Linked DNA regions of Oryctolagus cuniculus. The protein of the gene in region 2 interacts with the protein of the main gene of each other region in a pairwise test. Links are inferred from orthologs where the notes say so. Each region holds a gene or a part of one and is shown on either strand. Other genes may lie near its edges. The genes, in order: RBM12B and RBM10.

Evidence for each region.
Region 1: the proteins of RBM10 (region 2) and RBM12B interact in a two-hybrid assay, tested with the Homo sapiens proteins (3 studies listed by BioGRID). The link is inferred for Oryctolagus cuniculus from reciprocal best matches to the Homo sapiens genes RBM10 and RBM12B.

Annotation. Positions count from the first base shown.
Region 1 is NC_091437.1:119,183,439-119,187,786, reverse strand, and holds the start of RBM12B (RNA-binding protein 12B), read left to right. Parts: upstream 1-1,304; coding exon 1,305-1,457; exon of another isoform or gene 1,458-4,348.
Region 2 is NC_091453.1:32,712,309-32,716,117, reverse strand, and holds part of RBM10 (RNA-binding protein 10), read right to left. Parts: intron 2,557-3,809; coding exon 2,496-2,556; intron 2,335-2,495; coding exon 2,158-2,334; intron 1,767-2,157; coding exon 1,606-1,766; intron 1,433-1,605; coding exon 1,335-1,432; intron 1,248-1,334; coding exon 1,160-1,247; intron 405-1,159; coding exon 218-404; intron 117-217; coding exon 1-116. UniProt on the Homo sapiens protein: Binds to ssRNA containing the consensus sequence 5'-AGGUAA-3'. May be involved in post-transcriptional processing, most probably in mRNA splicing. Binds to RNA homopolymers, with a preference for poly(G) and poly(U) and little for poly(A).

The DNA.
Region 1 (4,348 bases), on a different chromosome or scaffold from region 2:
GGCCATAGCATAGCTGGATCAGAAGTGGGACAGCTGGGTCTTGAATCAGGGCCCACATAGGATGCTGGCACTGCAGGTGGTGGCTTTACCAGCTGTGCCACAGCATCGGCTCCTCTTTTTTCTTTTTAAATTAAGATTTATTACTTATTTGGAAGGCAGAGTTACAGAGAGAGTGAGAGAGAGGTGGTGAAGACTGAGAGAGATTGTCCATTGGGTGGTTCACTTCCCAAATGACTGCAATGGGTGGGGGTTGGGCCAGGCTGAAACCTGGAGCCTGTAAGGACATCTGGGTCTCCCTAGTGGCATCTTCTGCTGCTTTCTCAGGCGCATTAACAGGGAGCTGGATTAGAATTGGAGCAGCCAGGACTCAACCAGGTCCTATATGGGATTATGGCCATCCCAGGCAGAGGTTAAACCCTCTGCAACAAAATGCCAGCCCTTGTTTTTCAATTTTCCAGACTGGCTCATCTATTGCTGCAAAAACAAAAAAAATAGAAGATGGCAACAATTTTTAAAATATATGTATGTATTAAGATTTTATTTATTTATTTGAGAGGTAGAGTCACAAAGGGAGGGACAGAGAGAAAGTTCTTCCATCCACAGGTTCACTTCCCAAATCTAAGCTGATCTGAAGCCAGGAGCCAGGAGCCCCTTCTGGGTCTCAACGCGGATGCAGGGGCCCAAGCAGTTGGTCCATCTGGAGAGCTGGGTCGGAAGCGGAGCAGCCGGGATTGGGATGCAGACGCGCAGGCGGAGGCTTAGCCTACCGGCCCCAGCAACACATTCATAAAGACACGTCGCAAGGTTATTAATGTCGGTGAAATCGATTAAGCAACATGCAGTTATTAAGCCCTCAGGCATTGCAATATTTGGCGAACTTGTAAGGCGGTAAAATCAACATTCCTGTGGCTTTTTAGAGCTTTCAAGTCTCAGAATGCTTACCCCACACGGTAATCGCAGAATTGACAAGACAAGAAATAGCCAACTTTTTTGTTTTTGTGTCTCTTTCTATAGCTCCTAGAAATCTTGAAAGTTTGCTCGCTGTACTTAGCAGTTAGCCGCTACAGTCTCATCACAACAAGCACTTGACCAACCTCGCCCTCCCTGACTCCGCCAACTTTGTCTCCGAATTTTGCCTTTTCCTGGCCGAGGCTCCGGGATTGGCTAGAATCTGGGCGTGCGCAGAAGCTTGGCAACACAAGGCTCCGCCTTCCCAGCCCTAACAACGGGAAGCGGGTGCGCGTCAGGGCTCGTGCGCAGGCGTGGCCAAGGCGCTGGGGTGGTGGGTTACGCCTGGAGAGCGCATGGGCAGACAAACTGTACGTCCGTTTGTCCGGACCGGAGGGGAGAGTGGGCGCCATCTTCTTGGCTCACTGAGGGTTGTACTTGTTCTGTGGAGGCTGCCGCGACGAGGAGACCCCGGCCCCCGGCCTTGTGTGTCCGACTCGGCAGCAGTGGTGTGTGTTTATTGCCAAGTGCGAAGCAGTTACCCTTGGGGCATGGGGCCGGGGAGGGGTTGGCGACCGAGACGGAAGAACAGGGAAAGGCGGGGCCGGCGGCCGCGCCAGGTTGTAGCGTAGCTTCTGCCGTTAGGGCACCCTCTTTTCTTGCTAAACACCAACTCTCCCTCTCCCGTCAGCCTCCATGTGGTGGTGTGTGTGCGCTTCCCAGCGATCTTGAGAGAAGATCTCGAAGGATTTCATAGGTATTTTTTTCTTTGCTATGTCATCGTAGTCGGTAGTGGCAGAAAAGCTCTGAAGGCCCAGCTCGTTAAGCTTGAGATGGGTGAAGTATCTCAGATTTGGGAGCTGTTCACCCTGTGGCGAGTTGGGGTGGAACGTTTGCCCTTGGGACGGCGTAACGGAGATGCACGGGGGTTGGGCGGTGCAGGTTAATTTGAAGGCTGATTTTGGCTGAAGGTCTGGCGACAGCATCGGATCCCACGTAGCAACTTTGGCCTGGCGTGAAAGAAGGAAGCTCTGACCTCTGGGAGTATGGACAAAGGCTTTGGGCTATAGAAGCGATGCCTTCGGATGATTACCATTTGAGAATGATGGATGTTATGGGAAACCCTGTGCCGTATGATGGATTCGTCTTCACTTACAGTTCCTATTGAGGACTCTGGCTCTGTGTGGTCATGCCTTTGGCTTTTATATTAACCATCTACATTATAAAAGGCAGATCATCATAAAGAATAATTGTGGACTGGGGGACATTATTTTCTGCAGGAGAAATTCGTATTTAGAATTTGAATATGCTTCATCACAACCTTGGGTTTTAAGAAATAATCACAGGCAAAAAGTAAAAGAATTTCTCTCCCTCTCCATGTTTGGAAAACGACTTTATTCACTATTTAAAATCCAATGGATCTGAGACTACACTACTTAAATCCAGTTTCCCTGTTTTCTGCTCAGTCTTAATTCATATTTTGCGTTATAATAAGTATTAAATGGGGTGAATTGCTGGATAAAACGAGCTGAATTACTTAAAATGTATTTTGAATTTCAGTGACTTACCTAACTTCAAAGGATCTATTTTTCACAGATGTTCTAACAGATCACTGTGTCTTTCAATCAGTGCGGAGATAAAAATACTTTTGCTTTCACATTAGAAAAATGTTAAGTGCAGAGTGCCTTAGGTTAATTTGTGTGTTTCGTTTTTTGTGTAATTTGCTGTTAGGAATATAGTTTCTGGTGAATTTTCTTAAGGAAATGATATTTTGAAACTGCAGGAGAAGTATTTATTTTGAGAGTTGGTCTCCAGATAGTCTCCTAGGTGTGTTATGGAGGGGTAGTACATTACCTTACTATCTCATGGGCAAAGACATTTAAGCATTAGATATATTTAACTTAACCATTAGGAACAAACTAGTCTGCCTGGAGTCCATAAGTTTTATTTTTATGAAACTGCTTAGTTACTGAGAGTTAAAATAGTTAAGAAGGTAGTTTTTAAGTTAAGAAGGATAAATTACTAGTTTTCTGAAATTGACATGATTAAATTATTGCTCAAAATCTGATCTTTGTCAATCCTCTAATTCATTTGTAGGTGAATTTTAGTTCTCATAGTAAATAAATACCTTTGCAATTAAAAAAATTAAGAGAGTTAATTTGCTTTTTTAAAATGTTGAAAAAGCAGCTAAGCCAGTCTATGCTTATGGGGGGGCAGTCTGGAACCTTAACATAGATACATGTTTTAGAAGTCATTTGTACTTTTTGTTGAATTGTTGGTGTGTATATTGACTAGTTGAAGAGAGAGGGCTTACACTGTTTCTTTCTTTTATGATACTGTGCAGATAAATTAATAGTAAACCTCAATATTTTTCAGATGTGGAACATGCCATCTTGTTATCTCTGTTATTTAGCTTATAGATAGTTTAATCTGTAGACTATTTTTAAAGGAAAATAGTCTTGCACACCTCAGTGAATATGTCTCAGACCCTATTTTGGAACAGTGGTACTGTAATTTGAGCACTGGACTAAAGCAACATTTATTTGCATATTAAAATATGTAAATTGTAGTTACTCAGTTGGCAGGTCTTAAAACTTGATTAATTAGCAAGACTTCAAAGAAAATGGGCAAACATTTGGCATAGATATTTGGGAAGCCCAGTTTCATATCAGAGTGCCTAGGGTTCAAGACCCAACTCTGTTTCCATTGCCAGCTTCCTGCTGATGTGCATTCTGGGTGGCAGGAGGTGATGGCTTAAGTAGTGGAGTTTGAGTTATGGGCTCTGGGCTTCACTGTAGCCTGGCCCTGGCTGTTGGAGGCTTTTGAGGAGTGAACCAGCAGATGAGAGATCTCAGTTTTTCAAGTTAAATAAATAATTCAAAAATACTTTGTTAGGTACTGTTAGTTTGGTTATCCCTGAAAGTAGTAAGTGTAAGTTTCCTTAAAAAGGTAGTAAGGGGCAGGTATTTTCAGTTTAAACACCTGTGTCCCAAGTTGGAGTATTTGGGTTCTATACCTGGCTCTGGCCTCTTTCTTACGTGAGCCCTGGGAAGCTGCAACTGATGGCTCAAGTATTTCAGTTCCTGCCACACACATGAAAGACTTTGATTGAATTCCCAGTTCCCAGCTTCAGCCCCCCCCACAACGCTGGCTACTGTGGATATTTGGAAAGTGAACCAGCCTATAGAAGCTGTCTCAAATAACTAATGAATTGAAAAAACACCAAATTTAGTTAATACTGGTAAACCTGGTATCTAAAATTAATGAATTTTTATATTGGGTTTTCTCAAGAGTATGGATAGTTGTTCAAAATTGAGTAAGTCTATTGTCATAGAAAAATTTTGGATCTCAACATTTTCTATGTGAGATGAATTTTAATAGTTACTGTGTTAGGACTATA
Region 2 (3,809 bases):
ACTGCTGGCATCGGCTGCTGCCTGTTGGTAGAGGCCAGGGGTCGCACCAGCCTGGGCACGGGAGAAAGCCTGCAGTGACATGGAGTCTGCTCCAGGTTCCAGGGACGCCTCAGGACCTGGAAATGCACAGGGAAGGAGGATGCCTGTGAAGGCTGGGGCCCAGACCCCCTGCCTGCTGGCCCCCACCATGAGCTCAGGAAGAGATGCTGGGGCTTACCTGCTCCAGCTGGGTCCCCTTTGGTTCCAGTGATGCCAGGGCCCTTGGTGCCCTTGAGATAGCCATGGGCATAGAGGGAGGACTCTGTGCCCTGGCTGCTGCCATAGCCCTCATCCTGTTGGTAGTAGCTGTAGTCGACCGGTGGTTCCTCAGGGGTGGCCCAGGCACCCTCCCCACCCTGGGAGGCCTGAGGGGCAGGTGGGAGGGGCTCATTAGAATAGGAAGGGGCGCAGGAGGTGGGGGTGGGGAGCCTGCTAGAAGCCGGCTGTCCCATACATAGGGCTAGTGTTTCTACTTGACAGTAAAACATGCAGCCTTAAGATAACTGGCCGCAAGAGAACAGAGCAGTACCAAAAACAAGACTGCAAAAAAAAAAAAAAAAAAAAAAAAAAAAAAAAATCCACGCACACCCAGGTGCTTCCAGTGCTGGTACTGGTATGTGCGGTACAAGTGTCGGGTGTTAGACTAAGGAAGCCACCATCCTCCTTTATTCTCTTTCTCCCAATTTTTCTCAATCACTTATAAATTCCTCTTTATTCAGCAACATTGATATATACATACATACATATATATATAACCTCAATATGGAGTATGCAATACATTGCATGAATCCAGAATAATATAAATGAATATATATACATACATACGTACATACATATACACACATGAAAAGCCCCACCCAATAGAACACAGCAGCAGCCAGGGCCCTGCTCGAAGTGACAGCCCAGGAGGTGACTGGGAAGCAGCTGTGGTGAGGACAGGGAACGTATGAGGGGTGGGGTCTAGAGAGCCGAGAGCAAGGTAGAGAGGGGCCCACACCAGCCAGTGTGAAAGCATTCTGCATCCATGGACAGCAAGTCAGCCCTTCCGTTTGAGCAGAGGGCACAGGAAAGTTGAGAAAGCCCAGGTGCCAGGATGCTGAGGGGTGAGGGGTCTGAGTACCTGTGAGATGGCCCACTGGGCCGCAGCAATGGCAGTGCTGGCCACAGAGGCAGCATTGATGCGACTGCCTTCGTTGGAGGCCATGTCCCTGGGAAGGACAGTGGAGACTGGGAGTAAGATGGGAGGCTCCACGCAAGTTGGGATAAGCTGGGCAGGACGTGGGTGGGGTCCTGACCTCTTAGAACCCTTGGCAAATTCAACATTGATGGTCTTGCCGTCGATGGTGAGTGGTGGATGCAGGGCCTGCAGGATCTGCAGCAGCTGAGCAGCCTCCTGTGCGGGTGGAGGGGAGGCAGGGACAGAAGGGTCAGGCCCGGGGAGGCCCCCGGCTCCATTGCCCCATTTCCAGGCTTGGGACCGCGGTGGGAGGCAGGGGAAGGATCCCTCCTCCCCACCCCCGGGGGCCGGGACCCTGGCTGCCCGGCCCCCCCCTGTGCCGCCCTCACCACGATGGTGGAGAGCTGGATAAAGGCAAAGCCTCGGTTCAGTTGGGTTTGCTTGTCCTTGATGACGCGCACGTTGGAGGAAGACAGCACCGCGTAGGGTGCCAGGGCCCCCAGGATGGAGTCCATAGTGCTGTGTGGATTCAGGTTACGCAAAATGATGGCTGTGGGAAGGGGGTTCAGCATTAGAGGGCACCCCTGGCAGCCTGCTTCAGCCCCTCTTTGGTGGCTCCCCACTGTGCCTTGTTCCCTGGCCTCCAGCCCTGTGCACCTGCTGCTTCCCCTAGGGGACACATTGACCAGCAGTCCAGGTACCAGCTTGATCCAAGTTCATCTACCAAGAAATCTTCCCAACACTTCTGGCCACCATTCTGCCCCCTCCCCAACTTGCTACCGCTTTGCTCATCCAATGTCACAGGCCTATCACTCCACCAGGTGACAACCCAGCGACTCTTGTGAGGATCACGTTCTGCTCACTACCATTTCTCTGGTCTTGATGGGCTCAGCCCAGAGACCCTGGGGCACAGAGAAAGAAGGGAAGAATAACTGACTCACTGTCATTGGCGTTCTCGGAGCTTGGCTCAGAGCCTTGGGACAGGGCTTGGGAGGCCAGCACTCCCTGGGCCTGGTAGGGCTGCGGCAGGGGGAGCAGGCCCTGGCTCAGCTCTCGTCCACCCAGGGGTAGCGTCTGCTGATCCAGCCTTGTGCCGAGGGGCAGCTTCTGCTCTGCCTCTGTCGAGGAATGGGGGGGAGGTAGGACACGGGCTGTTGACAAATGGGGAGGCTCCTTGGCTCCCCTTCCTCCCCAAACCAACCCTCGATCAATCCCTGGCCCCTTAGTCTCTACTCACCCCAAGTCCTGGGGGGGGAGGGGAGAGGTATGTGGGCCTCACCTGACTTGGGCACGCCACATTTGAAGCACTTCTCACGGCGTTTGAAGTTCTGGACACCACACTGTGAGGCATAGGCCAGGCCGTCAGAGGAGGCAGGGCTTTGCACTGCACCCTCCAAACTTGAATCCAGAGATTCCCCCAAGGAACCCAGCAACATCCCAGGAAGGTCCTATAGTTAGGGGTGCCAGGAGCCTCCTGGCACACGCTCAGGCCTGTGAATCTTCCCTTTACACATCTCAAAGTTGTCCTCAGTGCCAGTCCCAGCTCAGGAATCATCAGCTCCCCGACTGGTTACAACTGTTGCCTCCTCGGGGCTACTGCTCAGTCCCTTCGGTAGGTTCCTGCTGCTGCAACATGCTTCTCTATTCAGAAACCTTCAACGTTTCACACCTCTTGTCAGACCCTAACTCCTCCTCTATCTCCAGGGCCGCACTGGCTCCTGCTACTGCTGAGAAACTTTCCTTGGCTATTTCGGCCTCCGGAGGCTTCCCGGCTTCCACCACATTCTAAATCTGTTCCAGCGTCAGGTACCCAGCACTGCTTCTGTGCCAGGCCTTGCCGCACATGGACAGGGCAGGGCCTCTCCCTCATGACCAAGGAGCACAGAGGGGCAGGTCAGTCATCACAGACTGCCACCCAGGGTGGGCTGGGGAGGTGCTCAGGAGGAGACTAAGCCAAGAGAGGGGTACAGGCTGCTCACCTGGGGACAGTCAGGAAGGGCTGCACAGAAGCAGGCATGTCTGATCTGGGGTGCCCATAAGTTTTAGTTTGGCTGGGAAGGGATACCCAACAGAGGAAACAATGGATTTCCCATAGCTGATGTAGGAGGGGAAGGGAGGGCTGGGGAGGGAAGACACGGCTAAGTCATGGAGGATCTTCAGCTTCAAATTGAAGTTGAGGGTTTTGAGCAAGAGAAGGAGTGGCGTGGCTGGAGCTGGTTTCCAGGAGCGGGGCAGGAGAGTGGGTATGGCACGGGAGGAAAGGGGAAATTTCCATCGCTTGATGCAATGGGCCCTGGTGCCCAACGGGATGGGAGGGATAAAGGAGAGGAAGGCGTCAAGGAGATCGCTCTGGTTCAAGGAACATCTGGAAACACAGGAGGGATGGCGCTGAGCGCCTGCCCTCTGATAGGCCTGCAACAACAATAGATGCCACGCCCCCAACTAGGCACAGCACTTCTTGAGAAGAGGGCAGGAGTCGCAACAGCTCTCCATCTTCCTACTGGGCCTCAGACGGACAGACAGCTGTGGAATCCCAAAGCTGGCTCTAGGGTGGACCTGCCGCCACTGTGGCACCCAGGGGCCTTGGCATCAG